7 linked regions of the Canis lupus familiaris genome follow. The protein of the gene in region 4 interacts with the protein of the main gene of each other region in a biochemical or structural test. Links are inferred from orthologs where the notes say so. Each region holds a gene or a part of one and is shown on either strand. Other genes may lie near its edges. The genes, in order: SCN4A, KCNA4, KCNJ4, SNTA1, FRMPD4, SLC6A3 and MAPK12.

Evidence for each region.
Region 1: the proteins of SNTA1 (region 4) and SCN4A interact in a test that uses a peptide from one of them, tested with the Homo sapiens proteins (2 studies listed by BioGRID and IntAct). The link is inferred for Canis lupus familiaris from reciprocal best matches to the Homo sapiens genes SNTA1 and SCN4A.
Region 2: the proteins of SNTA1 (region 4) and KCNA4 interact in a test that uses a peptide from one of them, tested with the Homo sapiens proteins (2 studies listed by BioGRID and IntAct). The link is inferred for Canis lupus familiaris from reciprocal best matches to the Homo sapiens genes SNTA1 and KCNA4.
Region 3: the proteins of SNTA1 (region 4) and KCNJ4 interact in a test that uses a peptide from one of them, tested with the Homo sapiens proteins (2 studies listed by BioGRID and IntAct). The link is inferred for Canis lupus familiaris from reciprocal best matches to the Homo sapiens genes SNTA1 and KCNJ4.
Region 5: the proteins of SNTA1 (region 4) and FRMPD4 interact in a test that uses a peptide from one of them, tested with the Homo sapiens proteins (2 studies listed by IntAct, with this or other methods). The link is inferred for Canis lupus familiaris from reciprocal best matches to the Homo sapiens genes SNTA1 and FRMPD4.
Region 6: the proteins of SNTA1 (region 4) and SLC6A3 interact in a test that uses a peptide from one of them, tested with the Homo sapiens proteins (2 studies listed by BioGRID and IntAct). The link is inferred for Canis lupus familiaris from reciprocal best matches to the Homo sapiens genes SNTA1 and SLC6A3.
Region 7: of the proteins of SNTA1 (region 4) and MAPK12, one has a biochemical effect on the other in vitro, tested with the Homo sapiens proteins (2 studies listed by BioGRID and IntAct, with this or other methods). The link is inferred for Canis lupus familiaris from reciprocal best matches to the Homo sapiens genes SNTA1 and MAPK12.

Annotation. Positions count from the first base shown.
Region 1 is NC_049230.1:15,070,962-15,074,443, forward strand, and holds part of SCN4A (sodium channel protein type 4 subunit alpha), read left to right. Parts: intron 1-155; coding exon 156-209; intron 210-693; coding exon 694-831; intron 832-1,313; coding exon 1,314-1,418; intron 1,419-2,141; coding exon 2,142-2,412; intron 2,413-3,182; coding exon 3,183-3,482. UniProt on the Homo sapiens protein: Pore-forming subunit of Nav1.4, a voltage-gated sodium (Nav) channel that directly mediates the depolarizing phase of action potentials in excitable membranes.
Region 2 is NC_049242.1:51,057,489-51,061,542, forward strand, and holds the start of KCNA4 (potassium voltage-gated channel subfamily A member 4), read right to left. Parts: upstream 2,801-4,054; 5' UTR 1,815-2,800; coding exon 1-1,814. UniProt on the Homo sapiens protein: Voltage-gated potassium channel that mediates transmembrane potassium transport in excitable membranes. Forms tetrameric potassium-selective channels through which potassium ions pass in accordance with their electrochemical gradient.
Region 3 is NC_049231.1:27,320,468-27,324,746, reverse strand, and holds the start of KCNJ4 (inward rectifier potassium channel 4), read right to left. Parts: upstream 2,801-4,279; 5' UTR 2,587-2,800; intron 1,232-2,586; exon of another isoform or gene 1,175-1,231; intron 7-1,174; exon of another isoform or gene 1-6. Other genes in the region: uncharacterized protein LOC119876745, read right to left, coding at 3,499-3,750. UniProt on the Homo sapiens protein: Inward rectifier potassium channels are characterized by a greater tendency to allow potassium to flow into the cell rather than out of it.
Region 4 is NC_049245.1:23,168,104-23,172,383, reverse strand, and holds the start of SNTA1 (alpha-1-syntrophin), read left to right. Parts: upstream 1-1,480; 5' UTR 1,481-1,495; coding exon 1,496-1,805; intron 1,806-4,186; exon of another isoform or gene 4,187-4,280. UniProt on the Homo sapiens protein: Adapter protein that binds to and probably organizes the subcellular localization of a variety of membrane proteins. May link various receptors to the actin cytoskeleton and the extracellular matrix via the dystrophin glycoprotein complex.
Region 5 is NC_049260.1:9,192,596-9,196,095, forward strand, and holds part of FRMPD4 (FERM and PDZ domain-containing protein 4), read left to right. Parts: intron 1-1,136; coding exon of another isoform or gene 1,137-1,141; coding exon 1,142-2,466; 3' UTR 2,467-3,500. UniProt on the Homo sapiens protein: Positive regulator of dendritic spine morphogenesis and density. Required for the maintenance of excitatory synaptic transmission. Binds phosphatidylinositol 4,5-bisphosphate.
Region 6 is NC_049255.1:11,357,321-11,360,820, reverse strand, and holds part of SLC6A3 (sodium-dependent dopamine transporter), read right to left. Parts: intron 1,684-3,500; coding exon 1,458-1,683; intron 1-1,457. UniProt on the Homo sapiens protein: Mediates sodium- and chloride-dependent transport of dopamine. Also mediates sodium- and chloride-dependent transport of norepinephrine (also known as noradrenaline). Regulator of light-dependent retinal hyaloid vessel regression, downstream of OPN5 signaling.
Region 7 is NC_049231.1:17,892,086-17,896,078, reverse strand, and holds the start of MAPK12 (mitogen-activated protein kinase 12), read right to left. Parts: upstream 2,801-3,993; 5' UTR 2,702-2,800; coding exon 2,577-2,701; intron 2,502-2,576; coding exon 2,372-2,501; intron 429-2,371; coding exon 334-428; intron 1-333. UniProt on the Homo sapiens protein: Serine/threonine kinase which acts as an essential component of the MAP kinase signal transduction pathway.

The sequences.
Region 1 (3,482 bases), on a different chromosome or scaffold from region 4:
TGCTTCCAGTGCTGTGGGACACGAGAGGTAGTATCTAGACCTCCGTGGTCTCTATGTCGTGCTCTGGGGAGGATCAGGCTGGGGTGAGGAGGGAGACTCAAGGATGGTGGAAATGAGAAGCAGCCCCTCTCCTCACACCCAACCACACTCCCCAGGCCACCTTCAAGGGCTGGATGGACATCATGTATGCAGCCGTGGACTCCCGGGAGGTGAGTGGGGCTCACTGAGATGTGGCTGGCAAGTGAGCCAGGGGAGAGGACGCAGATCAGAGGCACAATGACAGTTCTGCCCAACCCCACCCCCATTCCACCTCCTCAGGAGCCCCCAAAATCAGCAACCTGGGGGTGGAAGGATCCACCTCTGGGTCCCAGACTCCTCCTGCCCACAGTGAGATGGGGAGCCGGGAGCAGCCAACATACTCCCCCCAACCTCCCTATCCTGTCCCATCCCATCCTGTTCCATCCCCATCCTATCCCATCCCATCCTCTCCCATCCCATCCCATCCTGTCCCATCCCTTCCCCTCCTATCTCATCCCATCCCAGCCCCATCCCATCCCATCCTCATTCTATCTTGTTCCATCCTGTCCCATCCCCATCCCCATCCCCATCCCATCCCATCCCATCGCATCCCATCACATCCCATCCCCATCCCATCTTGGAGCCCCATCCCATCCTGCCCTGTGTCCTCTGCAGAAGGAAGAACAGCCACAGTATGAGGTGAACATCTACATGTACCTCTATTTTGTCATCTTCATCATCTTCGGGTCCTTCTTCACCCTCAACCTCTTTATCGGCGTCATCATCGACAACTTCAACCAGCAGAAGAAGAAGATGAGTATCCACCCACCCTCCCTGCACTCACTGGTCCCTTCATATATTCCCACCTGCCACCTCAGCACCCACTGTGCTGCCACTGGCAGCGGGACTGGGGCAGCCGGCCTGGGTTCAGGTTCTCCCTGGTGACTTTGAACAGTCACTTGGCCTCTGTGAACTCTGGTTACCTTATTAAGAAATGAGGTTGGTGCTACCTACCTGGCTGGGTCATCATTCAGAGGAGGCAGCAAGATATTGCTGAAAAGCATCCGGCCCCAAACAGGCTACGAGCCAGTGCTTGTCCCCTTCCCTCCACCTCCCCTCTGTTCCTTGTCTGGACAGAGTCCCCCTTCCCCTCCCTCCCTCCCTCAGCCCCTATCTCTGGGCCCTCCAGGTCCCCCTGCTGGTAGGGGGGCTGCCTTAAGGGTGGTGCCTGAGGTAGGGGGTCCCAGAGGCAGAGAAGAGAGGCCTCCAAACTTATAGGCACCATCCCACTATACTTTGGAGGGAAAGACATCTTCATGACGGAGGAACAGAAGAAATACTATAATGCCATGAAGAAGCTTGGCTCCAAGAAGCCTCAGAAGCCAATTCCCCGGCCCCAGGTACCAGCCCTCTGAGCCCCTCCTCCTCCAACCTGTATGAACCTCCTGCCCAAGGGGGCCCATGGGGGTAAAATGCAAGCTAAGTTCTGCCCACCAGCCCATATCCCTGGCGTGAGGCTGAGTCCACCTGCAAGGAAGCTGGGTTCCCTGCCAGGGGAATGTGCCTCTTTATAACTGCTCAGAGGCACCATGTGTGGGAGCAGCAGCTGCCTGATCGACCCCAGTCACTGGTTTGCCCCTCACCCGGCCCTGCACAGCCTCCCAGTGTCTACCCACTCCTTCAACTGATGACCTCTGGGGCAAGGGCCCCTAGAAGTAGGAGGAAGAGGATGTCCAGACACCTTCCCCAGTGAGTGATGACTGTGGAAGAAGAATGAGAGGTTGCTGGGGGCCTTGATGAGAGGAAGGGTCCTAGAGTAAGGAAGATACCCATGGACCCCAAAGAATGGCCTGTTCTGATGGGTATCCCCTCCTTGCCATGGCCAACTCTACCCCCTCTATCCCCTCCTCTCTCATGGCCACAAGCCCTGACACACACACCCCACTCTCTCTTTCTCTGTCTCTGTCTCTGTCTCTGTCTGTCTGTCTCTCTCTCTCTCTCTCTCTCTGTATCATGCTGTTGTGTCATCTTGTGTCTCCTGCCTGTCCACATCCTGTGTGGGTCCTGACCACTGCCCCCCACATCTACCCACCTGCACCCCTGCACTCCTAACCATGCTGCAGAACAAGATCCAGGGCATGGTGTACGACTGCGTGACTAAGCAGGTGTTTGACATCACGATCATGATCCTTATCTGCCTCAACATGGTCACCATGATGGTGGAAACAGACGACCAGAGCCAACTCAAAGTGGACATCCTGTACAATATCAACATGATCTTCATCATCATCTTCACTGGGGAGTGTGTGCTCAAGATGCTTGCCCTGCGCCAGTACTACTTCACCGTCGGCTGGAACATCTTCGACTTTGTGGTTGTCATCCTGTCCATTGTGGGTGAGCAGGGCCAGGCTGGGCTGAGTCATTCTGGAAGGCCCGTTGCTCCCATCCTTATGTACACACACCTGCTCTCACACCTGGAAAGCTCACACATACATTTACACATACGCATGTGCAATATGCACCTGGCATTCACACTTAAGACACAAAGATACATAGGATGGGCTCATAGGCAATCTGTCACCTGCATACACGTGAATATGCTTCTAGAAACATTTACCTACCAGTAGATGCACACTCAGGTCCATGTGCCTAGTGGAAGACATAAGATGGTTCTAGTATCATCCATACACACAGAAGTGCATAGACACATGTGTAATTATGATAGCAACTAACTACCACTTATTGATCATTTACTATTTGCCTGACACTGTGCCATCCCAGGAGGCAGGGACTGTTACCACCTCTGCCTTACAGAGGAGGAAACTGAATTATAAACAAGTTAAATGTCATGCTCAGAGTCACACACAGAGCTGTCTTCCCTCTCTGTCTCATCTGTGGCATCTGCAAACAGCCTTAGGAGTCAGCCTTACCCTCTCTCTATCAACTTGGGTGTATCTCACCTCCTTCCAGCTACAGTGTAACCCTAGCCCCAGGACCCTAGGAGAGCCCAGCCTCACGGGCCAGGTCATTTAGACTGTGCTTCTGTTGCTTCCTTTCCAAGGAAGAGCACACCAAGCCAGGTCCCCTTGAGTCTCCCTTGCCCCCACTCCCTGATCTAACCTCCCACCCCAAGGACAGTGCTCCTCACCACTTGTTCCCTGCAGGCCTCGCGCTCTCCGATTTGATCCAGAAATACTTCGTGTCACCCACACTGTTCCGAGTGATCCGCCTGGCTCGGATCGGGCGTGTTCTGCGGCTGATCCGAGGGGCCAAGGGCATCCGGACTCTGCTCTTTGCCCTCATGATGTCCCTGCCTGCCCTCTTCAACATTGGCCTCCTGCTCTTCTTGGTCATGTTTATCTACTCCATCTTTGGCATGTCCAACTTTGCCTATGTCAAGAAAGAATCGGGCATCGATGACATGTTCAACTTTGAAACCTTTGGCAATAGCATCATCTGCCTCT
Region 2 (4,054 bases), on a different chromosome or scaffold from region 4:
TTAGAGGGGAGGTACGGGCAACTGACCGCATTCTGTGTCAGCTGCGTCTGCTCCTCATTCTCAGTCTCTCTGTGGTAGAAATAGTTAAAGTTAGAGACAATCACTGGCACTGGCAAAGCGATGGTTAAGACACCTGCGATGGCACACAGGGACCCCACGATCTTGCCCCCCACGGTGATGGGCTTCATGTCCCCGTAGCCCACAGTCGTCATGGTCACCACGGCCCACCAAAACGCATCTGGGATGCTCTGGAAATGGGTGGTGGGCTCATCGGCCTCCGCGAAGTACACGGCGCTGGAGAAGAGGATGACCCCGATGAAGAGGAAGAAGATCAGAAGGCCCAGCTCCCGCATGCTGGCTCGGAGCGTGTGGCCCAGGATCTGCAGGCCCTTGGAGTGCCTGGACAGCTTGAAGATCCGGAACACGCGGACCAGACGGATGATCCTGAGGATGGCAAAGGACATGGCCTGCTGCTGCTGCCCGTTGCCGCCCCCCTGGTGCTGGGCCAGATCGGTGCCCAGCGTGATGAAGTAAGGCAAAATGGAGACAATGTCAATGATGTTCATGATGTTTTTGAAGAAGAGCGCTTGGCTGGGACAAGCGAAGCAGCGAACCACGAACTCGAAGGAGAACCAGACGATACAGACGGTCTCCACGATGAAGAAGGGGTCGTTGAAGATGGTGTGCCCTGAGTTCTCTAGGTGGGGCGCCGAGGAGTCGTTCAGCGACCCGCCGTGTCCGCCCGCGCCCAGTGCCATGATGAGGTCCCTGTCGTCCCGGAACTCGGGCAGGGTTTCCAGGCAGAAGATGACGATGGAGATCAAGATGACCAGGACGGACACGATGGCGATGCCCCTGGCCGGGCTGGAGCTCTCCGGGTACTCGAAGAGGAGCCAGATCTGCTTTTTAAACTCGTTCTCCGGCAGGGCCCGGTCCTCCTCCTCCCGCACAAAGCCCTCGTCCTCCCGGAACTTGAGCAGGGCCTCCTCTCCCAGCTGGTAGAACTTCACCTCCTCCGTGAAGATGTCGAAGGGCACGTTGACCGGCCTCTTGAGGCGGCCGCCCGACTGGTAGTAGTACAGGATGGCGTCGAAGCTCGGCCGGTTCCTGTCGAAGAAATACTCGTTTCGCAGCGGGTCAAAGTACTGCGTCCTCTTCTCGGGGTCGCCCAGCAAGGTGTCGGGAAACTGGGCCAGGGTCTTCATCTGGGTCTCGAAGCGCAGGCCCGACACGTTGATGACCACCCGCTCGCAGCAGCCGCTGGGCCGGCCCGGGCCGTAGGCGCCGTCGTCCCGGGGCAGCAGGTCGCTGCAGGAGCCGTGGGCCGCGCGGTCGTCCTGGCCGCGGCCCAACCGGGCCTCCTCCTCGGCGTCCTCGTCGTCCTCGTCGTCCTCGTCCTCGTCGCTCAGCTCCCTCAGGATCCTCTCCTCCGAGCCGCTGGGCAGCAGGTCCGAGCCGTGCGGGAAGCCGCCGGGCCGCGGCTGAGGCCTCCTCCGGTTGGGCCGCGAGCGCCGGCGCCTCCGGGCCACACGGCCGCCCTGGGGCTCGAGTGCGGGGCAGGTGCCGCGGGGCTGCTGCTGCTGCAGCTGCTGCTGCTGGTGCTGCTGATGCTGCTGGTGCTGCTGGTGCGCGCCGCCCCCGGGGCCCCCAACGCCCTCCGCGGCCGCGGCCGTGGCCGCCGCCACCGCCGCGGCCGCCGCGGCCCTCGACTGGGCCAGCCGCTCCCGCTCCCGGGCCCGGGCCTGCGCCGCGTAGCCGTAGGGCATGTGGCTGTTGCAGCCCGAGCTCTCGGCGCTCACCATCGCGACCTCCATGGCCGCGGGAGGCGGGCGACGGAAAGTGGGGCAGCTCCCCGCCTCACCACACTAAGGTAAGTTTGGAACCGTTCAGCAGATTGCTCGGAAGACTGAGGATATTTTCAGTCCAACTTTGCATTTTCCGTTTTTAAACCAGCACGCCCCATGCTCTCGGTTCCCAGGGACGAGCGCTGCTCTCCAGGCCCGGCCCGTCCGGGTAGCGCGCGCCGGGCCCAAGTCCCCGCCGGGGCCCCCAGCGCCCGGGGCCCAGGCGCAGTCTGGAAGCGCGGCCCCAACTGGCCACCGCCGCCGCCCGGGATTCAAAGGCCGCGGCTATCTGACGGCCAGCACTTGTGCCTGGAAAACGGAATGGATTTTTCTGCCATGGAAATCGTCCAAAGCTCGGTCCATCAGATTTAAATAAAATGCAAATAAGCCTTTAGTCTTAGCACTTGCCTTCTCGTGACGGCTTGACCCGAGCGGGCGAGCGGCTGGAAGCGCGTCGGGCCATCGCCGCCCAGAGCCCGCGGCCGCTCCCTGGGTTCAGCACAGGCCTCCGGGGCGCGGGGCCCGGGCCGAGCTCGCGACACAGGCGAACAGCTTGGGAGGTAGAGAAGGTACGAGGCGAGGTGTCAGCGGGGGCCAACCCGGCTCGGAGGTCTCCATGGAAAGCCAGGGAGCGCAGAGCATCCTTCAGCTGCGGCGGCGCAGAAGCAGCACTCCACCTGAAAAAGGAAGGGAACAAGCATGGGAGCAGAGTAAAAAGCATCGACGCGTAAAGAGCCGACGGCGCCTCCTTCCCAGACCCCGCTCTTCTGGGCCTCAAGCAAGCAAGGCACCCGAAGCCCCGAGGGACCACCGCAGCCGGTTACGTCTCCTCCTCACCCAACCACCCTCCTGCCCTCTTCTTTGGTTCTGATTCCCGCTCGGGCTATTTTCATGGCAACTCAATTATTTCTCCTCTCTCCACTCCACCCACGTGGCCGTCCCTTTCGCTCATGCCAGGTCTTAACTCTCGCGGTCACTCTCTTCCTTCCACGACAACGACGCGGTCACCTTACAACTGCTTCCATCATTCATTGATCTCAAGGCATAGGTTTTCTTTTTTTTTTTTTTTTTTCTGAATTTCCACTCATCAAATACTTCTGAATTTAGTGCCTCTCCACCCCTCTCTGTCTTGATTCAGGATCAGGGCCGCTGGAGGAACCGGCCTGCTTTCACCCAGGCTCCACGGCTTCCACAAGCCTCAGTCTCCTCACCTACGAAGTGCAGGGCACATGGAACCTCCCCCGTCTCTTGGTGAGGACCGACGGAGACGGTGAACGCTGCCAGCAGAGCACAGACATCATGCACGTCCATCATGCTGCCGGCTCTGAACAGGGCGACAGTGACCTCGGCCTCTGCTGTCTGGTACTCACCCCAAACCCCTATGTCCATGCACCACAGTCTCAGTTAGGGGGAGGACAGAAGTGAGGACACGGGGGCCTTCGGAGACTCCCCAGCGGCCTGTCTTAGGTTGGCACTTCCTGCCGCCCTGAAGCATGTCCCTGTTGTTGTTTTTCTGTTCCCCAGACTCCAGAACACTCCCTACCACCCACAGCCTAGGAGCTAATCCCAGTTTCTACTTCTCTGATAATCATCTTTTTTTTTTTTTTTTTTTTTCCTCCTCGCGGTTCCTCCATGTTCACCTCAATGCTTCCTCCTACATCTTCTCAGGGGACTATCTCCTTATGTTTAAAATCCCAGTTTGTGCGGATTTTATCCTCCACCCATCAGACATTCCCCTCATAATTTCATCCATCATCTCCCGTCTCCCGGACCCACCCCGGCCGGCTCCCTTGCCTCTCTCTGCCCACTTCTGTTTCCGATCTGCCACTTGCTGATCGCATCTTCCTCGCAGCCCCGATCTGGCTCCTCTGTCACCTGGAATTCCTGGCCTCTCTTCTAGGTCGGCTCCCTCCAGGTCCAGCTAATTCACGTCCTCAGCAGGACCTGGAAAGACTGCCCTGGTCTTCTGTCTCCTATGCTTTTGCATTCAGTGGGTCCGACAGGACTCCCGAGAACGCAGGGTGGCCCCGAGAGCTGGGGAGGATCACGACAGTCAGAATTCAGGGCATCCACCAGTTTCTATTACTGGAAGCACTTGGGGAGCACAGGAGAAATGGCTTTCTGGAGCCATTAGCAGGATTCAGCGCTTGACCACCTGCTGCTCCAGGCTGAATCCTGTCGGCCTCGGAGCCTAAACCCACCCGAGTTTT
Region 3 (4,279 bases), on a different chromosome or scaffold from region 4:
TGGCAGGTAAGTGCCTGGTCACTGTCACAACTTTCCGTGGAAATTGGGAGGGTGCAGGAGAAGCAAATGACCCGTGGTCTCTTCACCTAGCCAGAGGTCTGCCTGCTGGCTGCCCTGGAAATGTGGGGTGCAGGGCAAGGAGGGAGGGGCAAAGGGGGCGGGGAATGGAGACTGAGGGGTCTGTAGACCTAGAGCCTCTGCTCCTGTGGGGTCAGTCCTGATGCTGGGTCACTGGGCACAAGTTCAAGGGAAAGGTAGGAGCTCAGGGACAGAGACTTCTGGAAGATGGAAGGGGGAAGCCTGGTGGCTGTGACATCATAAGCCTGAGAGGAAACATTTGGTAATGGTCCCCTCCTCCTGGGGCTGTAGCCTGGGATCCTCCTGCAAGGAGGGTCTGGTGGAGGCTGGGAGTGACTGGGAGGAGGTGGGAAGAGGCAGAAAAGGCAGCTCCAGCCAGAGAGAGGTTCAGGGACCCCAGGAAAAAGAGTCCCTTCACCTCCCCCCCCACCCCGCTCTGCCCCAAGCCTGATGTGACTCTGGACAGCTCACTTGTCTCCGTGCCTCAGTGTCCTCATCTGTATGACAGCCTATTGTGTCATAGGATAATAGCCCCACAGTTGAGATGATGGGAGCTTAGGGGCGGAATTCCCTATTGTCCAGCCCATATTTGAGAAGGGCAGGGGTGGGGAGGTGGAGGCAAGGAGGGATGTGAGACAGGTGTGCAGGGGCTCACAGGGGCAGCGGGTAGAGGCTTGGCTGTCAGAACCTGGGCGACCCTGGGCAAGTTGCTTATCCTCTCTGGACCTCAGGAGCCTCATCTGTAATGGGACAGTCTGGACTGGGTCCCCAAAAGGCAAGTAGGCTTTGTGGTCATCCAACACCAAAGCGCCCCCTGGGAAGAGTGAAGGGAGCAGACGCCCCTGGGGGTGATACCATTAGCCCAGCACTATTCTAGGCTTGCACAGGCATTGTCTCATTTAATCCTTACCAGAACTCTATGATGCAGGCGCTTGTTACCCATGGGGAAACTGAGGCATGGGCCATGTTGGTACATGGCCAGGGACAACTCTGTGGAAGGGCAAGACTTGCTCTGAAGTTTGATAGGTAGTGATGGTAAAACGTTCATCCAACTGAACATTTTGCCAAAGCTTCTTGGCCCATTTTCCATTTTCAGAGATGATCCTCCCAGTGTCTTCATGAGGGAGCCTCTAGGACTATCCCTCATTCACAGGTGAGGAAACCGACCTGAGACACAGAGAGAGGAAGTGCCTTGCCCATGGTCACTCAGGGAGTAAGCAAATGTCTCAGCCACATTTGGAATCCATTCCTAGTTTCTGGGGAGAGGTCGTTTGAGGCCAGCAGAGCACTCGTGAACTGGCTCACTCTAGGAGACCAGTCAGGCCTCCCTGGTCCCATAGAGGCCTTGAGAGCAGGCACAGAAGGCCTGGAGGACTGCAGGTGGGAGGGCCTGAGCCAAGCTGGGAGAGGAGTGGGGGAGGTGGGCCACCAGGGGCCACTTCCAGATGCCAGAGTCACAGAGTCCAGGGGTTTGGGACTTAGAGAGTTCCTGAAAGTCTGGCCAGCCCATTCTACAGATGGGGCAAACAGAGGGAGCCCAGCTGCTTAGATTAGGAATCAGACCAGGACACAGCTGGCCAGCCTCAGAACTCTGAAGTCCCAGCAGCCCTGAGGGGTGAGGATGGATGGTGGGGAAAGGGGTAATGGGAGCCCACAGGGCCAAGACCCATCCCAGCGGCTATGCCCTGGGAATGGAGGATTGCAGGGGTCTCTCCCGCCCTCCACTCCCCCCCTCGCCCACCCCCCAGCACTCAGTAGTCACCAGGGTGGAATATTTTAGCACCTATAGAAAAACCGCCACAGACGGCCGTGGCAGCTGTTGCTAAGGAGACGCTCCCAAAATAGCCCCCCTCCGCCAACCTTTCCCGCTGCTGCTCCTGCTGTGGGGAGGGGAGGAGGCCAGAAGGGGAGGGGGTGGCATGTGAGCCCTGGACCCAGGTTCACCCATCCGCCCTTGCTCCTGCTGCCCACATGCCCCAAGATGGGGCAAGCCAATGACCAGAGCAGCCACAGGTCTGCAGAGGGGGCAAGAGCTAGCCTGGGCACAGTCCTCAGCTGGAGGAAGGTCACCCAGATGAGGGGAGATGGGGGGGAAGAGAGCCCCCCCCACCCGAAACCCTCAGCACACTCCTACACATGCACGATTACAGACCTCACAGTTTTACACATCCACTTGTGCACACCACAAGTACAGACCCACAAATGCCCTCCTTGATATGCATATTCACCACCACAGACACAAATAGATGCACGGGTAAATACATATGCCTCAAATACACAACACACACCTGCAAGCACATACCACGCAGCCATAAATACACACATTTACACACACATACTCAAATATGAATCGCAAGCACACACAAATACCAATGTATGCATGCACGCCTGGCACATGTACCCCCACACACGCACCGCAATGTAAATACGGTCTCACAGCACACGAACACACAACTGTAACAACACATGCCCAGCATGTGGCATTCAAAGAGCATTAAGTGGTGTTACCATCGGGTTCTGTGCAGGAGCCACGTCCTGGGCTCTCCAGACATCCTCACTTAGTGGGGGCACTTCTGCGATCCAGCTACAGGGTAGCAGACTAGGAGGCGGTGTCCAGGAGGGTGGTGGAGGCTGCCGTCTCTGTGAATCCCTCCGGTAGGTGGTCTGGGGACCAAAGGATCCCTGGTGCCTGGGAGAGCTACGCTGGGTCCATTGCTTGGGAAAGGGGATGTTCCGGGAAGGAAATCTCACCCTAGAGACTGCAAACCCATGGGCATGGGGGGAGTTGGGAGCCCCATGTTCACTGGGCACCTGGTTGTCACCAAGCCTGCAGCTGAGGCCAGAATGATGATGAGGACAAGAAGACAATAGAGTGGCAGCAGTGATGGTCCTTAACAGGTGCACAACACTTTACAGTTTATAAGCCACTTTTACACCCGTTATTTCACACACTTGGTAACAGCTGCCCTGAGATATCGGTGGTGCTGTCCCATCTCTGCGGCAAAGGCAGGAGAACGGACTTGAAGACCGCACAGCGGCTTACTGGCAGAGCTGGTACCAGAGCCCAAGGAGGTGCCAGCACCCAGCTCTATGCACCCTTCACTCGGCTGGACCGCACAAGCTAGAAAGCAGGCCACCAGGGTGCAGGGCTTGCCTTTGCCCCTGATTCGCTCGCTCTGTGATATTGGGGAGCAGCCAAGCGGTCCACCTCCCCACCTGGAAAACCGAGAGTGAACCCCAGGGGTGTATTCATCCTGCAGTTGGCGGGCACCGGGCTAGGGGGTGGTGCCAGATGCCCCCCCCCCCCCCGAGAATGCCAGCGCAAGGACGAAGGGCACCCGTCGCTCCCCTCTGCCCTCGGCCAGCCACCGTCTCTCTCCAGCCACCTCTCCCCAACCGCCCCCCCCACCTCCCGCGCACCGTTGGTTCCGTGGCTCCGGTTCGGCGATCCGGGCTCCGGGTCTTCGCTGACGCCTCGTCACTCGGGAGACGCGGAGAGCGGCTTGCGGTTGCCGTGGGAACCCCGCGGCGGCCCCGGAGCGGCGCACGACTCGGAGCCCGGGGGCCGGGCCTGCCCCGCGAGCGCCGAGGGGTCTTTGGCGTCTCAGACAGACACCTGTCGCCAGCGGCGAAGGGAGGCGGCGTCGCAAGGTTTGTTATGCTTTTCTTTTTCTTTTAATTGAGGTGTGACTTACAAACTGTAATACATCTTAAGAGCACAGCTCGATGGATTTTTACATATGCAAAAAACCCGTGTAATCACCACTGGGATCAAGATACAGAACACTTCTAACGCCCCAGAAGGCTTCCTCGGGCCCCGAGGTTATTTTTAATTGTCTTTTTTGCACTTCTGGAATAAACCGGCGAGGGAGTGATCGGCTTCTGAGAACACAGAATGTGTTTTCTCCTGGCTCTGCTTTGCGGATCCTCTTTGGGCCTGGGTGTCCCATAAAGGGGAGCAGGGGACTGGCATTTGTTGAGTGGTTTACTCCTTGCAAAGCGCTTTAGGTACCTAGCTAACTTTGACTCCTATCAAGTCAGTATTTGGTTTATACCCAGGTTACCCATGGGAAAGATGAAAGTTTGCCCAAATTCCTACAGCCCATCAGTAAGTGGTGACACTTGAGACTTGAACAAACATCTGTCTAGCCTTGGCATTCATTCTTCCTCCCCTTTTCCTGCTTATTGGCCTCTTATTTTT
Region 4 (4,280 bases):
TCAGTGCTTAGGCACTGACGTCAAACAAGCCTAGGTTTAAGTCCTTTCCCTGTCCTCCTCACGAATGTGTGATAGAGGCCATTTAGGCCTTCTATATCTAAGTTTTCCCTACTGTATAATGGGAGTGTTGCTAACTACAGTTACTCCTGCAGGCTACTGTAAAGTTGAGATAACACAGGAATATGCTCAGATCTAGGCCTGGCCAATGGTAAGCACTCAATAAATAAAAGCGACTAGGGTGCCTGGGTGGCTCAGTCGGTTGGTTAGGGCTCTGCCTTCCTCTGGGCTCACGATCCTGGGGCTGTGGGATCCAGGCCTTTTGTTGGACTTCTGCTCACGGGGGAGCCTGCTTCTATTTCTCCCTCTGCTGTTTCCGCTGCTTGTGCTCTTTCTGTCAAATAAATACAATCTTAAAAAAATAAAAGCGACTGTATTGATTGCACAGGAGTCGCAGTCTACAATGCATTTTCAAATCAATTTGATTCTGACACAAACACTGTCAGGTAGCGATTCTTGTGATCCCCATTTCATAGATAAGGAAATTGAAGCCTGGAGAAGTGAAGTGATGAGATCAAGGTCGACAAGGAGCTAACAGAGTGAGGCCCCAGACCCAAAGCCCCACCTTCCAGCCCTCTTTCCTCACACCAGGAGTCCTGGGTTCTTCTCCAGCCAGGTCTCGCAGAGGGTGTGGGACTTCAGGCTTTTTTTTTTTTTTTTTTTTTTCTGTTCGACTGCTAACAGAACAGGTGGTTAATCTCTCAAACTCCCTTCCATCGAGGTGGCGACCGCGTCCAACCCCTCGGTGGGCCCCGAACGGCCTGCAGCGTGCCCATCCCAGGGGGCGGGACCGTCCGCGAGAAGCCACGCCCACAGGCAGACCGAGGCCCGCGCCCGCGTCGGGAAATCAGCCGCTTCCCAAGCCTGCCTGCCGGCGCGGGGGGCTCCGTGTCCAGCTCGGCCGGCCCCTAAGAGCAGCTCTCCGCAGCACACGGCTCTGCGCCCACCCCCAAAGCCTCGCAACAGGATCCGCGGTCCTACCGCTTTCGCTCAGGCTCCTACGTCCGTGAGCTCCGGTCCCGGCCCTCGACGGCCTTGCGGAGCTCCGAGCCCCTCCGCGGGCTCCTGCCCGGACACGAGGCCCCGCCCCGGCGGCCCCGCCCCGCCCCGCCCCGCGCGTGGCCGCGGCGCCCCTCACCCTGGACCGCTCGCCCTACGCCCCAAGGCCGCAACCCCCCGGGCGCGCGCTGCCCCGCCGCATCCCTCGGGTCCCCGCGCCGCCGCGTGCCCCGGCTCGCCTGCGCCCCGCCCCGCCGCCGCCCCCCGCCGCCAGCCACACCCCGGCGGCCCCGCCCCAGGCTCCACCCCCAGCGGCCCGGGGTAGGGTGGCGGCTGGCCCAGGCGGGCCCCCGCTGCCCTCTGCCCCGGGCGCTCGGTCGGAGCGGGCCGGGCACTGCGGGGCAGGGGAACGCGGCGGCCCGGGGGCTCCGCGGCGAAGATGGCGTCCGGCCGGCGCTCCCCGCGCACCGGGCTGCTGGAGCTCCGCGCCGGGGCCGGTCCGGGGGCGGGCGGCGAGCGCTGGCGGCGGGTGCTGCTCAGCCTGGCGGAGGACGCCCTGACCGTGGGCCCCGCCGACGGCGAGCGCGGCCCGGAGCCCGGCGCCCCGCGGGAGCCGGAGCCCGCGCAGCTCAACGGCGCCGCCGAGCCCGGCGCGGCGCCCCCGCAGCTGCCCGAGGCGCTGCTGCTCCAGCGGCGCCGCGTGACGGTGCGCAAGGCCGACGCGGGCGGGCTGGGCATCAGCATCAAAGGTGGGCGCGGGGGCACCGGGGGCGCGGGGGCGCGGGGTCTGCGGGGTCTGCGGGGCCGCCGAGCGCGCCGGGGTCGCGGAGGCCGGCCGAGCGGCGCACGCGGGACGCGGAGTTGGAAGACTTCGGTCCGGGGACGAGGAGGGTGGCTGAGGGACAGAGGGACCGAGGAGGACACGGGGAGCAGCAAGGTCGGAGGCCTCAGTCAGAAGGCACAGGCGGAGGCAGTGGGGGCGCACCAAGGACAGGCGGGTGGCTTCTGTGTGGAAGCATAGAGACGTCAGGGGTTGCGTGGACATCAAGTAGGAGAGGAGCCCGGAGAGCGACGGATGGAGAGAGGGGATTGAGGCCTGGGAAGCTTCCCTGAGACGCCGCCAAGGTGGCGGGGAGGGGTAAGGCCTGGAGTTGGGAGCACAGGTTTGGAGACTTGGGGAGAGGCACAGGCTGGGCTCACAGACAGGGGTCCAGGAAGGACCCAGAAATCTGAGGACCCAGGACCCCATGTATCTAGGTGGAGAGTCCCGACAACTGGGTTTGAGTTTCCCTGCCTGGCCATCATCACCTTGCGCGGAACTGAGAGTGGGCATAGAGAAATCTCGGCCCCGATACTGAGAGCTTTCTTTAGGATGCAAGCAGGTAGTGTTTGAATCCTGGATCTGTGTGCACTTAGACAAGTCACTTCCCATTTCTGGATTTCAGTTTCTTTGCTATATAATGAGGCTAATGATAGAGTTGTAACAATTCCATGAGAACAGGAGTCTGAAATTTGTACTCTGCCAGCACGCAGTAGATGCCTAGTTAATTATTGCTGTTAGATGAGAGGAAAAATGGAGTCCAGGAGAGACTGCCAAGGCAACTAACCATAGTGCTTAAAATCCCTGTATACTCACAGCAGCTGGGTTCACCATTCCTACCCATCTGCTTCTCAGGGTGCTGTCTGCCTCGGGAAAGGGTGTTGGCTCTTGTATCACCTTGGATATGCACTGTTCTCTCCCTGCTGCTGGGTCCTTTCATTGGTGTCTCCAGACCCTTTGGCCTGGGTGAGGGGGTGGGGATGGTGGTGACTCAGCTACCACCGTGTGCTGGAATGCTGTGTTCCGTACTTAGGATCTATTTTATCCAGGCAACAAGTGGTAAAAAGTGAGGAGCATAATCTCCATTTAGCAGGGGAAGAAACTGAGACTCAGAAAAGGAAAACAGGGATCCCCGATGGCTCAGCGGTTTGGAGCCTGCCTTCGGCCCAGGGTGTGATCCTGGAGTCCCGGGATCAAATCCCACATCAGGCTCCCTGCATGGAGCCTGCTTCTCCCTCTGCCTGTGTCTCTGCGTCTCTTTCTGTGTCTCTCATGAATAAATAAATAAATAAAATCTTAAAAAAAAAAAAAAAGAAAAAGAAAAGGAAAACAGTCTTCCCAGGATCACACAGTGAATGATTTGAACCTCAATGATCAGGCCTTAAGAGAGTGCTCAGAGGATTTGGTTCTTCCCCATCAAAGGGCAGATTATCAGGCAGCTGACCAAAGGAATCTAAAAGGGAGAAATGGGGAATGCGGAGAGTGGACACCAGTCTTGCCCCTCAACTCCAGAGTGGAATAGGGCAACAGATCAATCCAGAAATTGGACACTCAATGTGTTAAAGCAGAAAGGAATTAATTTTTTTTTATTTTTTAAAGATTTTATTTATTTATTCATGAGAGACACAGAGAGAGACAGAGAGAGAGAGAGAGGCAGAGACAGGCAGAGGGAGAAGCAGGCTCCATGCAGGGAGCCCGACGTGGGACTCCATTCCGGGACTCCAGGATCACGCCCTGAGCCAAAGGCAGACACTCAACTGCCGAGCCAAACCCAGGCATCCCAAGCAGAAAGAGAGTTAATATAGAGTTCCATTTTACAGATGGACAAGCTGAGACTTGGAGAGGAGCACAGACTTTCCAAGGTCACATGAAGTTACTCCTTAGCTTCATACTGCCCAGTGGGAGTGAAGGTACTTTTAGGAGAGGTCAGGGGAAGTACTAGCTCCATTCAGTTCTTCATGAATAGAGACTGGGCTCTTGTTGCCATGGTGACCTCCCTTCGAGGGTCCAGCCTGGCTTGAGGTGGCTTGGGATGATCATAGCTTCAAATTGAACTGAATTTCCTAGTTTCATGTGGAGGAGAGCAGATATAAATAGAAACCCACTCCTTTCTAGGCTTTAAGTCCTGTGCCATGCAGTGAGCATACTATTGGGCCTGTATGGGGGCCAGGAGAGGCATTCTAGTCCTACCTTTGCCACCAACTTATTGTGTGACCTTGAAATAATGACCTCCTCTCTATGGGCCACTAGATCCTCATCTTCAGCATTCTGGGATGGACCAGTAATATGATATCTGAGGGCCTAATTTACAGTCAACCATAGGGTTAAGAGCCTGGTTCTGGAGCCAGGAGACCTAGGTTAAAATACTACTTTGCTGCCACCAACTAGCTGGATGACCTTGGGC
Region 5 (3,500 bases), on a different chromosome or scaffold from region 4:
CCCTACTCCGTAAGACTCTCATAGAGACATGTCCTGAAGTATCCGGTACACCTCAGTGTCAGGAAGGCTTTGGGGGTACGCGTGATGAGCTGCTTTATTTTCCCCCAAATAATAAAACGTAGGCATAGGTAGAAACAAGAACACAACCACCTCTGTGCCCATCTTCACCATCCTACCACCCAGTGGGCACATATTCCTCTCACCAATCCACTCGGCCAGCCATCACGTGGCCAAAACAGATGTTCTTTCCTACTCTCAGATATCAAAGTATATCCATAACATCTCTTCCAGACTAGGTCAGTAGATGTTAGTGAGATCTTGCATAGGTTCATTTCCATTCCTGCCCTTTTAAGATGATCTACTTTCACAAAACCCACCACTGACATCACCAGCCTCGGGAAACCTGCCTATGAATGTTCCCTAACTCATCACTCAGCTAGTGTCTTGACCTCTAACTGAAGCACGCTGTTTAATCTTTCGTGGCTCATGAAGAGCTTTCACCTAATTTCCCTCTTCCCACAAAAATTCCGTGAGATGGAAATATTTTCTTCACATGACAACTTTTTTGCAAAAAGTTGAGCAACTCGCCCAGGGTCTCCTCTTCAAACCCCATACCAGGCAGTCCTCGTGGGGTCCTCTTGAAAAACTGACCTTATTTACTTTGCCTTAATTAGACCACTTAAGAAAAAAAAGGTAACTAAGTAACTGATGCCAGGACTAACCTAACGCCCTTGAAATGAAACTCAAATGTCATAAATATTTTGAATAGCCGAGATCTAGGATGTGTGTTTTCTAATTACATGTCTAAACACTGATAGATAAATACTGGGGGTCAGACAAGTTGTGAAGCGCCACAGTCTCTGCAAATAATTGTGATTTCTAGCCAATTCAAAATAAATCCATAGTTTCAAAACAAATAAATCCATAGTTTCAGAAATAACAGCTACCCAATATATCTTGAAATGGAAATCTTATGAGATCTCAGGAGGCAGTCTTTGAAAAGGAGGGTGACCCTGACAAATGGCAGCCCTTCTAGAGTACATCCTCGGGAAGTGACAGCCAGCACCTAGAGAGTCAGTGAAAATGACCACCCATGAGATGCTTAACGATTCTCTCTGTTTTTCTGCTACCCCTAGTGTAGCTTTGACAGAGCCTGGGAAGGAGAGACGAGGAGGCATGCCTTCAGCTTGGTCTCAACATCCTGAAGCTGATCCCATCCTGCTACCATCAAACATTCACTCGGAATCAAAGGTGCCAATTCCAAATCAAGACCCTAATGATTTCTCCCAAGCAAATCTGGCATACGGAGAGGCTGTGAACTGGCGGCCACTGGATCTGAGAGGGGGGAGCCTCGGGACACCCCCCAGCCAGAAGGCTCTGCGGCGTAGCAGCAGTATCCTCTCGGGATCTGTGGGTTTGGAGACCTTCCAAGAGAGAACCAAGGGTGCGGTCAGCTTAAAGTGTCCGGGAATCACAGAAGCACCGGAGGCCAGTTCGGAAAGGCGAGCAGAACTCCCCCTGGGGAAGAAGCTCACCAAAAGTTTTTCCCAAAGCTCGATGTTCTTTAGCTCCGAGGGAAAAGTTCACAAGAGGTCCCCGGTGGCTCACAAAGACTCCAAGCTGTACAGGACATTACCCTTGCGCAAGCTGGAAGGCAGCAACTGGAGATGCCGGGGACCTTTCAGCTACTGCTTCCTGAACCGAGGGCAGGATGAAGATGGAGATGAGGATGAAGAGGAGGGAGAGGCCACGCGCCAGGTCTCTTGCCTCTTTCGGCCACAGATGACTCAAGCCACGCCAGAACCAATCAGCCCACCTCCGGCTGTTGGGATTCAGAAGCAAGGAGGGGAGCTGTCCAGGGGGTCAGTGCTGAAGGTCTGGGCAGAAGACCTGAGTGGCCCAGATGACGCGGACTTTAGCAACCTGGCCTTCGATGCCCGGATTGCAAGAATAAATGCCCTAAAAGAGAGCACATACGCAATGCCCGATGGGTTCCTCGCAGCCCAAAATGATGCCAATGAGCTGCTCTGCCTCGTAAGGGCGACAAAGGGGAAGAGGGAGGAGTCACGCCCTGAAGCATATGACCTTACGCTTTCTCAGTACAAGCAACTGTTGTCCATTGAGTCCAGACAGTTGGGAAGTGCCTGTAGGAAGCTGGCGATGGCCGAGAAAAGCCCAGAGGAGATGCTCCTAGCTATGACTTCCAGCTTTCAAGTGCTCTGTTGCCTAACGGAAGCTTGCATGCGATTAGTTAAAGTCGTGAACTCAGAAACACAGCGGCAGGAAATTGTAGCGAAGATCAATGAAGTGGTCATAAACTACATTTGTCTCCTGAAAGCTGCAGAGGCAGCCACTGGAAAGACCACTGGGGATCCTAATGTTGGACTCTCGGCGCGACATTCAACCACCATGGCCGCCCTCGTAAGCACACTAACACGTTCTCTCAAGATGCTTTTAAATAAATAAAGTATGAAAGTCACATCATAATCTACCTTTGCAAAGCCATACATGAACTTTTATTTACTTTATGTGTACGATGAACAGATGTCTCCTTTCTTCTCTCTGTATATTTTGTTATTTTATATAAAATAGGAGATAAAAGTCACATTGATGAAATGTTGAAATGTACTAATCAGAAGTATTCTGTTTATATTATACATATATATACATGTAAAAGAAATATACAAGAAAGTGATGACATTTGGCTATTTTTCATATAGTTGAAACTCCAGGTATATGATGTGAAGTTTTAAATTCTCCCGTGTTAGAGCAAAACAATGAATCCCATCCCCTTTCCCTCCAAGCGGATACTTGGAGACCATATCATTCATACTTAGAAGTTAAAAAAGAGGGAGAGAGAGAGAGAGAGAGAGAGAGAGAGCGAGGGGGAGAGAGAGAGAGAGAGAAAGAAATCATAGTGTATATAAAACAGTACTTATGTTTTAAAATTATGATTTTTAAGCATTGGAAATAGCAAAAGAGACATTTAAAATCCAAGAAGCTATTATGAATTATTAGAGAATATATATAATAAATTAATTTTTTGCTCATAGTGTTTGGTTATCTGATGCTTTCTTCCAAGAATCCTACATAAAATTTAATTTTGGCTTCTGCCATTTGGGCTAGAAATGGGGTGGGGGTGGATTCGATTGTGTCAGTACGAATGCTCTTCATGATGTTTCTGTAGTTCAAATACTTCCCAAATAGAAGAAGAGAGGTAATGATGCGCAGGTTCCTAGGTAATACCTAGAGTTAGAGATGATCTAACGACGTAAAATGAAAGGAATGAATAATATCAAAATTAAATTGTTTGATGAAAGAGAGATCTCTTTTGATTAAATGTCAAAATATATAAACCAAAGACATCATCTTCCTCCCCACCCCGACTCAACCGTGAAACTTAGAATTCCATTAAGAGTGACAGAACATTTAGTGAAGTATTTGCGAAATTACAAAAAGCAACATTCAATGATCATCAAATAAGTGCAGATCCAGTCATG
Region 6 (3,500 bases), on a different chromosome or scaffold from region 4:
CCATGCAGCCTGGGCACGACCTGTCACTGCGACACTTAAATTCAGGAAATGCAGTGGGGGAACAGCTCAGCAGCAAGTGGTGTGGGTGATTATCACCCCTGAGAACAGCAAGCTCAACTTCTCTTTATCTAGACGATTCTCACTTGCTCTCATCACGTTAGGATTTGCATCCACATGCTTGGACCCCCACCCCCCGCATCTCCATCTCCCACCCATGTGTCCAGCTGCGGACCATGAGCCCTGTCCTTCCTTCCCCGTCCTCCTCACCATGCTACTCTCTTCTAGTCCCACACCAACAGCATCCTCCTAAAGACAAGCACGTCCCATGGTGTACGACTGTTTCGCGCCCCAGCCACACTCCTCCTGACCATGACTCAAGAAAACCACGCATCATCCTGGCTGTGCCCCCAGACATTCCAAACCTGCCCCTCAATGCCGCTTCCCCCCATGGAGATATGGTGCCCACATGGGGCACAGAACCCCAGACCAAAGCATTTCAGGTTCTTGGTGTCTGAGACATGGTGTGACTATGGGTCTCAGCCCCTAGGAACACCTGCCCCACACCTACCACCCTGCTAGCAGCACCTAGCTCGCGGCCACAGGACGGGTCTCTGGGGCCCCAGGACTTGGACAGTCCCCTCCTCCCAGGAAATCCCTCCTTTCCTGAGTTCTTGGGGAATCCTAGGGGAGGCAGTGGGCATCTCTGTCCACCTGCCCGAGTCCTGGCTCTTCCCAGGAGGACAGGTCTGATGACTCAATGGGTGGCTCTTCTAGGTGGAGTCAGGCCATGTAGACGAGGGCAAAGGGGGCAGGAGCTGGGCCCAGAAGACCCAGAGAAGAATTGATTCGGGGATGTGGTGGATGCCAGGTGGTGCAGGTGCAGGGGAGGGGAGGGTACTGGGCAGCCCCCTAGATGTGGGGACCCAGGAGTGACTTGGGCAAGAACTAACGTTGTGTTTGTAGGAGGAAGAGAACATCTCAGGAGAAGCAACAGTGGCTGCACCTGGCACGCCTGGCCTGCTTAGGAGGCCGGAGGGGCGTCGATTCTGCATGCAGGGAAGGGCGGGGGGGGGGGGGTTACGGAGAAGGCAGAGCCAGGTCCGCTCTGGGGGTGGCCCTGCAGCCCCCGCCCAGGGCCCACACGTCCTTCTGCAGGTTGCCCTTGGCCATGTCGTGCTCGCTGTGGGACAGCGCGGCCGTGGGCCTGCTCTGCCTCCCACCCAGGACTCACTCCACAGGAGCGTCGCTGAGCCACTAGACGTGGGATTTGGAGACGCACCCTATGGGGAACCCAGAGGAATGGCATGCAGGCACCAGACAAGGGACCTCACCCCACCCTCGCAGGGTAGCATGGGCAGGGTAGCCGACCCCCGGGGCTGCCGCAGGGCACTGGACACTGTGTCCTTCCCGCCCCGAGGCCGACACGGCCCGTGACGTGCCACCACACCCCCACTTACTCAAAGTACTCGGTGGCGGGTGTGGTCCTGAAGGTGTCGTTGGGACTGGAGCTGGAGTTGCTGGAGTGGGCGTCTGAGCAGTTGGGGCTGTTCCACGTGTTGTTGCAGTGGACCCACGGCAGCTCCACGGTGAAGGAGGAGAAGAAGTAGTGCAGCGCCCAGGCGATGATGACGTTGTAGAAGAAGCCGACGTACAGCGAGATGAGGATGACCGTGAAGCCCACGCCTAGGGCGGGAGAGCACAGAGCGCCGTCTGCAAGGCACCCACCCTCCTTCCCTTACGTCGACTGGCTGACCACTGACATGGACACCTGGCCACGATGCTGCACACCCAGAGCCAACTAGTGAAGGCTCAGGTGGCAAAATTCATGCCATGATCACTGGCGGCTGCACCCAACCCCCCAAGCATCCAGGGCCGTGTGCCCTCAGAGACATGCATGGTCACCTAGGGCCACCCTGGTAGAACCAGGTCACCCACATACATACGGGGTGACCGAGGCCTATCTGTGGCTATCCACTACCACTTGTGGCCACTCAGCATCAACCTCAAGGGCCACCAGGTCATTGTGCCACTAGGCATAACTATCAGAATCATCTACTAGCACCCGTCACAGCTCAGGGCCATCTAGGGATACCCAGAGATACGCAGCATCACCCTCAGTCATCTAGGGTCACTCAGGGACATCCAGAGACACCAATGGTGCTTAGAAGCTAGGGTCCTCCATGGCCACCCACAGCTACCCAGAGCCGTTCAGAGCCATTTATGGCCACTCAGCGCTGCTCGTACCCCTCAAGACTACCCAGGGTAAACAGAGTCGTCTGGGTCATTCACAGCTTCCTAGAGCCACTTTGAAGTCACACAGGGCCACGTAGGACCATTCAGCATCAGTCAAGGCTGTGCATGACTGTTCAGGGTCCCCCACCATCCCTGAGCATTCAAGGTCAGCTAGAACCATGCATGACCGTCCAGGGCCATCTGGGGCCATCTCTGACTGTCCAGGGTCACCTGGGGCCACACATGACAGTCCAGAGTTACCCGGGACCATCCCTGACCATCCACGGTCAGCCAGGGCCATCCCTGACCGTCCAGGGTCTCCTAAAGCAAACCAAGGCCTTTTGTGGTGACCTTTCCAGGGTCACAAAATGTGGGATCAGTCACTGAGGGGCTCTCAGCAAACTAGGACAGAGTGGCGAGCAGTCTTTGGAGCTGTGCCATCCTGATGGTGGCAGGTGCATCCGGCCTCCTCCCGTTGGCCAAGGGGCCTTCAGGTAAGTGTCCCGTTCCTGCCACATGGCTCCTCCATCAGGCTCCACACAGAACTCTTCACTTCAACTTTCCTTCTGAGCTTTGCAAATGGGATTTGTTTGGACTCAAGCTTTGATTCTCTCAGTTAAACCTGGTTGGTGCTGCATCTCGTGTGCCCGCTCGCAGCTGGGCCTGGCTGCAGGTGGAGCAGGCCTTCAGGTGATGTTTCCAGGAAGTGGCTTGTGGTGTCCTTTATGGACGTAACCCTGAGGAGAAGCAATTTTCATGCTCAGGGCACCTCACTAAAACTCTCTTCCTGCCCTGACAGCACAGAGAGGCACCAGAATTTATTTGTGCAAGTCTACTGAACAGACCAGTAGCAGGAGGGCCCTGAAAATAAAATAGGCCCTGGCGTGCAAACCGTCTTGGAAAACGTGGCAGGGTCTACGATGACAAAAACGTGACGGTTTTCTTCGGAAGGCCTTCCCGGGGTGGACTTGGTCAACGTGAAATAATGTTATACTGCAATTCTGCTCGCTGAGCTCCTCAGGACGGGGGCTGGGTTGTGATTCGCAGTGACCTGGCCTGGGAAGCTGTGTGGCCGGGGAGCTGTGTGACTGGGAGAGCATTGTGGAAGGCTGTCTCCAGCAGTGGGCTGACTGTGGATCCCTGGGTGGCGGGCTGCAGGCTTAGCCCTGTCCTGCACCCCGCCCCCCAAAAAAACACGGGGAACTCGGCACACTCCTGTCGGACTCCGGGAAGCCCGCAGCCACGTGCCAGCTCCAGCCAGCCCCACG
Region 7 (3,993 bases), on a different chromosome or scaffold from region 4:
AGCAAAGGTCAGCGGCTCTAGTTACAGGCCATGTCCGATGCCAGGGTCCCAGAGCACGGGACCTGCCAATGACAGATGCAGGCCCCACGCTTGCATGCCCAGCACTGGAGAGGGCCCCGCGCCAGGCGTGGGGGCAGGAGGCCCAGGGCCCACCCACTGTGCCAGGGCCATGGGTCCCGGGGGGCATGTGGCAGGGGGCAGACTGTGGTGCAGGGAAGGGACCCCCACTCGGGCTGCAGGGACACCCACAGACCAATGCGGAACCCGAGTCAGCACCCAGGAGCAACCCAACACTCCCTTGCCCTGAGCAGACTGCCCTGGGGCCGCACTCACAAGTCTGTGAAATCATCCAGGGTTTCATCAGGAGTGAACACGTCCAGCAACCCAATGACCTGGGGGGAGGCCGGAGTACCTGGTGGAGTGGGGGCCTGGCGGAGGGCACGGGGTCAGGTACACCCCGAGGCGGCACGGTGCCCCAGGTGGGAAAGCCCCCTACAGCTGTCCCCGTGTCCCCCCACTGTCCTACTGGCAGGACAGCCTAGCCCTGGCACACATGCCCATAGACACAGGCTATTTTTGAATGGTGACTGCAGGGATCCTCTGGGGGAGGGGCGGTCCCAAGTCTGGGTCGGCTCCCAGCCATCCAAGGCACTCCAGCCCCCTGGCCCTTCCCCCGCCTCTTCTCATGCCCACTGAAAACCTGACGGCAGGGTGGGACAGCCTCCCAGGGGAGAGCCAGCACCCAGCAGGCCCATCAGGGAGCCCTAGCTCTGCCAGTGAGGCCCAGGCAGGCAGCACGACAACCAAGGCAACGGCTAGACCCGGCCCCGCGGAGCCCCAGGAGGCCTGTACAGCTGAGTGGCCAGAGGGGCAGGTGGATGTGCCAGCGGGGGGACACCTGGCAGAGGCCAGGCAAACGAGGGCCGAGGCAGAAGGGAGGACACTTGAAGCGTTTGAGGAACACGGGGAGAAAGGCCAGGTGGCTGAGGCCCAGGCCAGGGAGTAGCCAAGGAGAGGCCGGAGGGAGCCGGGCGGGCCCTCGCCTGCCAGGTGAAGGTTTGGCCTTGATCCTAAGAGCTGCCAAGAAGGGGTTTAAACAGGTGCGATGCCTGCTGTGTGGGGACAGATGGGAGTGAGGCAGGGACAACTAGGTGACTGCGCCACCAGGGCCAGAGTCACGGGCACAGGGGTGGACAGAACATAGAGGGATGTCCGGTGAGGGGCCTGGGCCACCGGGAGAGTGTCTTGGCAAGAAGGGGATGGAGGGCAGGGTCCCTGAGGGTCAGGGGGGGTCTGTCACGTGGAGAGGGATCTGTGCCCCTGTGGATTCTGGCCTCAAGTAGAGGGAGGGAAGGGAGAAGGTGCCAGGTGTGGGCGGAAGGGCAGGACCCGGCCGGCACTCTGCCTCTCACGGCCTCAGTGTCCTCCCAGGGCAGCGGGGTCACAGTCAGCCATGTGCAGGGCACCCCGAGGCGGTGGCACCGGCTGCCAGAAGGTCAGGAGCTCAACTGGGATGGTGCAGAGGAGGAGATGCGGCAAGGGTGGGAGGCGACCGAGCAGGCCGCCCTGAGATCTTGGGGGCAGGAGCCGGGGGGGCAGCTGGGGAGGAGGCTGCCACCACAGGGAGCCAGCTGGGCCTCACTAGGGGAACCAGGAATTGGTGAGGTCGGGGCTGGGCTGGCGTCCCGCACGAAGGGATGTCCCCAGGGAGGCCCAGGGGCAGAGGCAGAAGTCTGCGTGAGTGAAGCACCCGCTGCAGCGCCATCGGCCAGGAGCCCAGGAGACCCGGGGCTCGTTTTCCCCCGGGGAACGGAGGCTGATGACCTAGAGCCGGACCATCCGTAAGGGTACCCCGCCCCCCCCCCCACCCAGCAGCCCTGAGACAGCCCGATCCGGGGGTGACGCGGGGTGGGCTGTGCAGAGGGCAGAGCTCGGTCGGGGAGGCCCCCCAGGACACAGACCGGGGCTCAGCAGCCAGCAATGGGCACACAGGCCGCGGCAGCACACGGTGCCCCAAGGGCAGGTCGGGCATCAAGGGAGGCCCTTGCGGGTGGGGCCGCACATCTGCCACCCTGGAGCGAGGCGACCCTGGGCCGGCCACCCGGCCTCGGCTCTCCACGGCCGCCCGTAGCCCCTGACCACGGGGCACTCCCCGCTCGGCGCCCGCTGGGCAGACTGTGGCCCATGGCCTGGGTGCAGGGGCGCCCTGGGTGCAGCTGCGGGGGATGCCCAGCCGGGCGATGGCGCCCCTTCCGGGACCACCGCGGCCTGGGGAGGCAGGGCTGGGCCGAGTGAGGGTGCCAGCCCGGCGAGTGTCCCCCCCACCTCGGGGGTGAGCCCGGCCCAGCCGCACCCGGGGGCGCCCACTCACGTTCTCGTGGCGCATGTGCTTGAGGAGGCGCAGCTCGCGGTAGGCGCGCTTGGCAAACAGCTCGGACTGGAAGGGCCGGTACAGCTTCTTGATGGCCACCCGGGCGCCGCTGCGGCTGTCCACCGCCGAGCTGCAGGACGCCCTGCTCAGCAGCCGCCCGCCGCGCCCCCCCCCCCCCCCCAGCCACCCGGCCGCCCGCGCTCACCACACGGCCCCGTAGGCGCCCGAGCCCACGGGCTGCAGGTCCTGGTACACTGCGCGCACCTCCCACGCCGTCTTGGTCACCTCTTGGCGGTAGAAGCCCCTGCGGGCGGGCGGCGGGGAGCTCATGGTGCCCAGGGCACCCCCCCACCGCGCCCCGAGCCCGGGACCGGGTCGCCGCACCTGCTCGCGCGCCTGGCACCGCGGGTCTCCCCTCCCTCCTGGCGCGGCTGTCCCGCGCCGCGACCCCCGCCTGCCCCCTGGCCCGGCCTGGCCCGCAGTCCCGCCCCCGCCGCGGACCAACCGGCCCCCGGGCCGCGCGCACGTGACGCCCCCGCCCGTCCCGCGGAAACCCGAGGAGGCGCGGGGGCGGGGGGGCGGGGGGGGGGGGGTGTGTGGAGGGCAGGGCGCGCCCCCAGAGCCCGAGCCCAGCGCGGTGTCTGAGCAGATGCCCCTGGGTCACCGCGCTGCCCCTCGCGGAGCTGGGCCCCCCTGCTGCACAGCCCGAGCTCCCCCAGTCCCGGCTGCAAGTCCCTGGCCACGGCCGGCCTGGCCACCTCCACCGTGTAACCCGGGCCCCATTCCTGTGTCCCCCTTGTCACCTGCCCACCTTGCGGGACAGCCCCTTCCCCTGGGGCTGATCCATCCAGGTCCCAGGGTGGGCCCCCACCCCCACCTCCCCAGCACCTACTGCCTGCATCCCCCTCTCCTTGGGGAGGAGCTGGTTCTGTCTCCCAAACTTAGGCTGCATCCCCAACACCCCTCGGTGTGACCACCGGGCCCCGGCGCCAGAGAGGGTGGTGGTGTAGGTCTCCCTTGGGCCCCCAGGCACACCCAGCTCCCTGCCGGCCACCTTCCACCCAGCTTACTCCCTCCTGACCATCCTGAGCCTGGCCTGAGCCTCCCCTCTCTCTCCAGACTTGACTCCCAAGGGTGAAGGAGGGCCCTACTTGGGCTCTCAGGGCCCCCCTGACCCCTAGGTGGGGCATCATCCTTCCACGGGTCTGGCCATATCCCGGACCGGATGCTCCTGGGGGACAGAGCCCCCTCCACGACCTGCTCAGCCCAGGGACCCAGGTCCAAGGTAACAGGATCCCCAGGGGCCCTCCCCTCCCTCTGCCCTGCCGGCCACCATGAATCAGCAGCTCAGAGCGGCCAGAGCAGCTTTCCACCTGGGCTTCCACAGGACTTGGAGACCAGCCAGAGAGAGCGGCCTGGGCCACTACAGCCACAATCACCTGTGCCCTTCACGCCTGGGGCCGACCAGGCAATCCCCCTGCCTCTCCCAGGAGCCCCTCGCTGGCTGCTTCCTCCCCGTGGGGGGCCCGGGGTATGGCAGGTGTCCCCAGGTGGTGCATCCCAGTTCTGCTCCCGTCCGCTGCCCCTCACCACGGGACTTGGTCCAACCTGGTCTCCAAGGG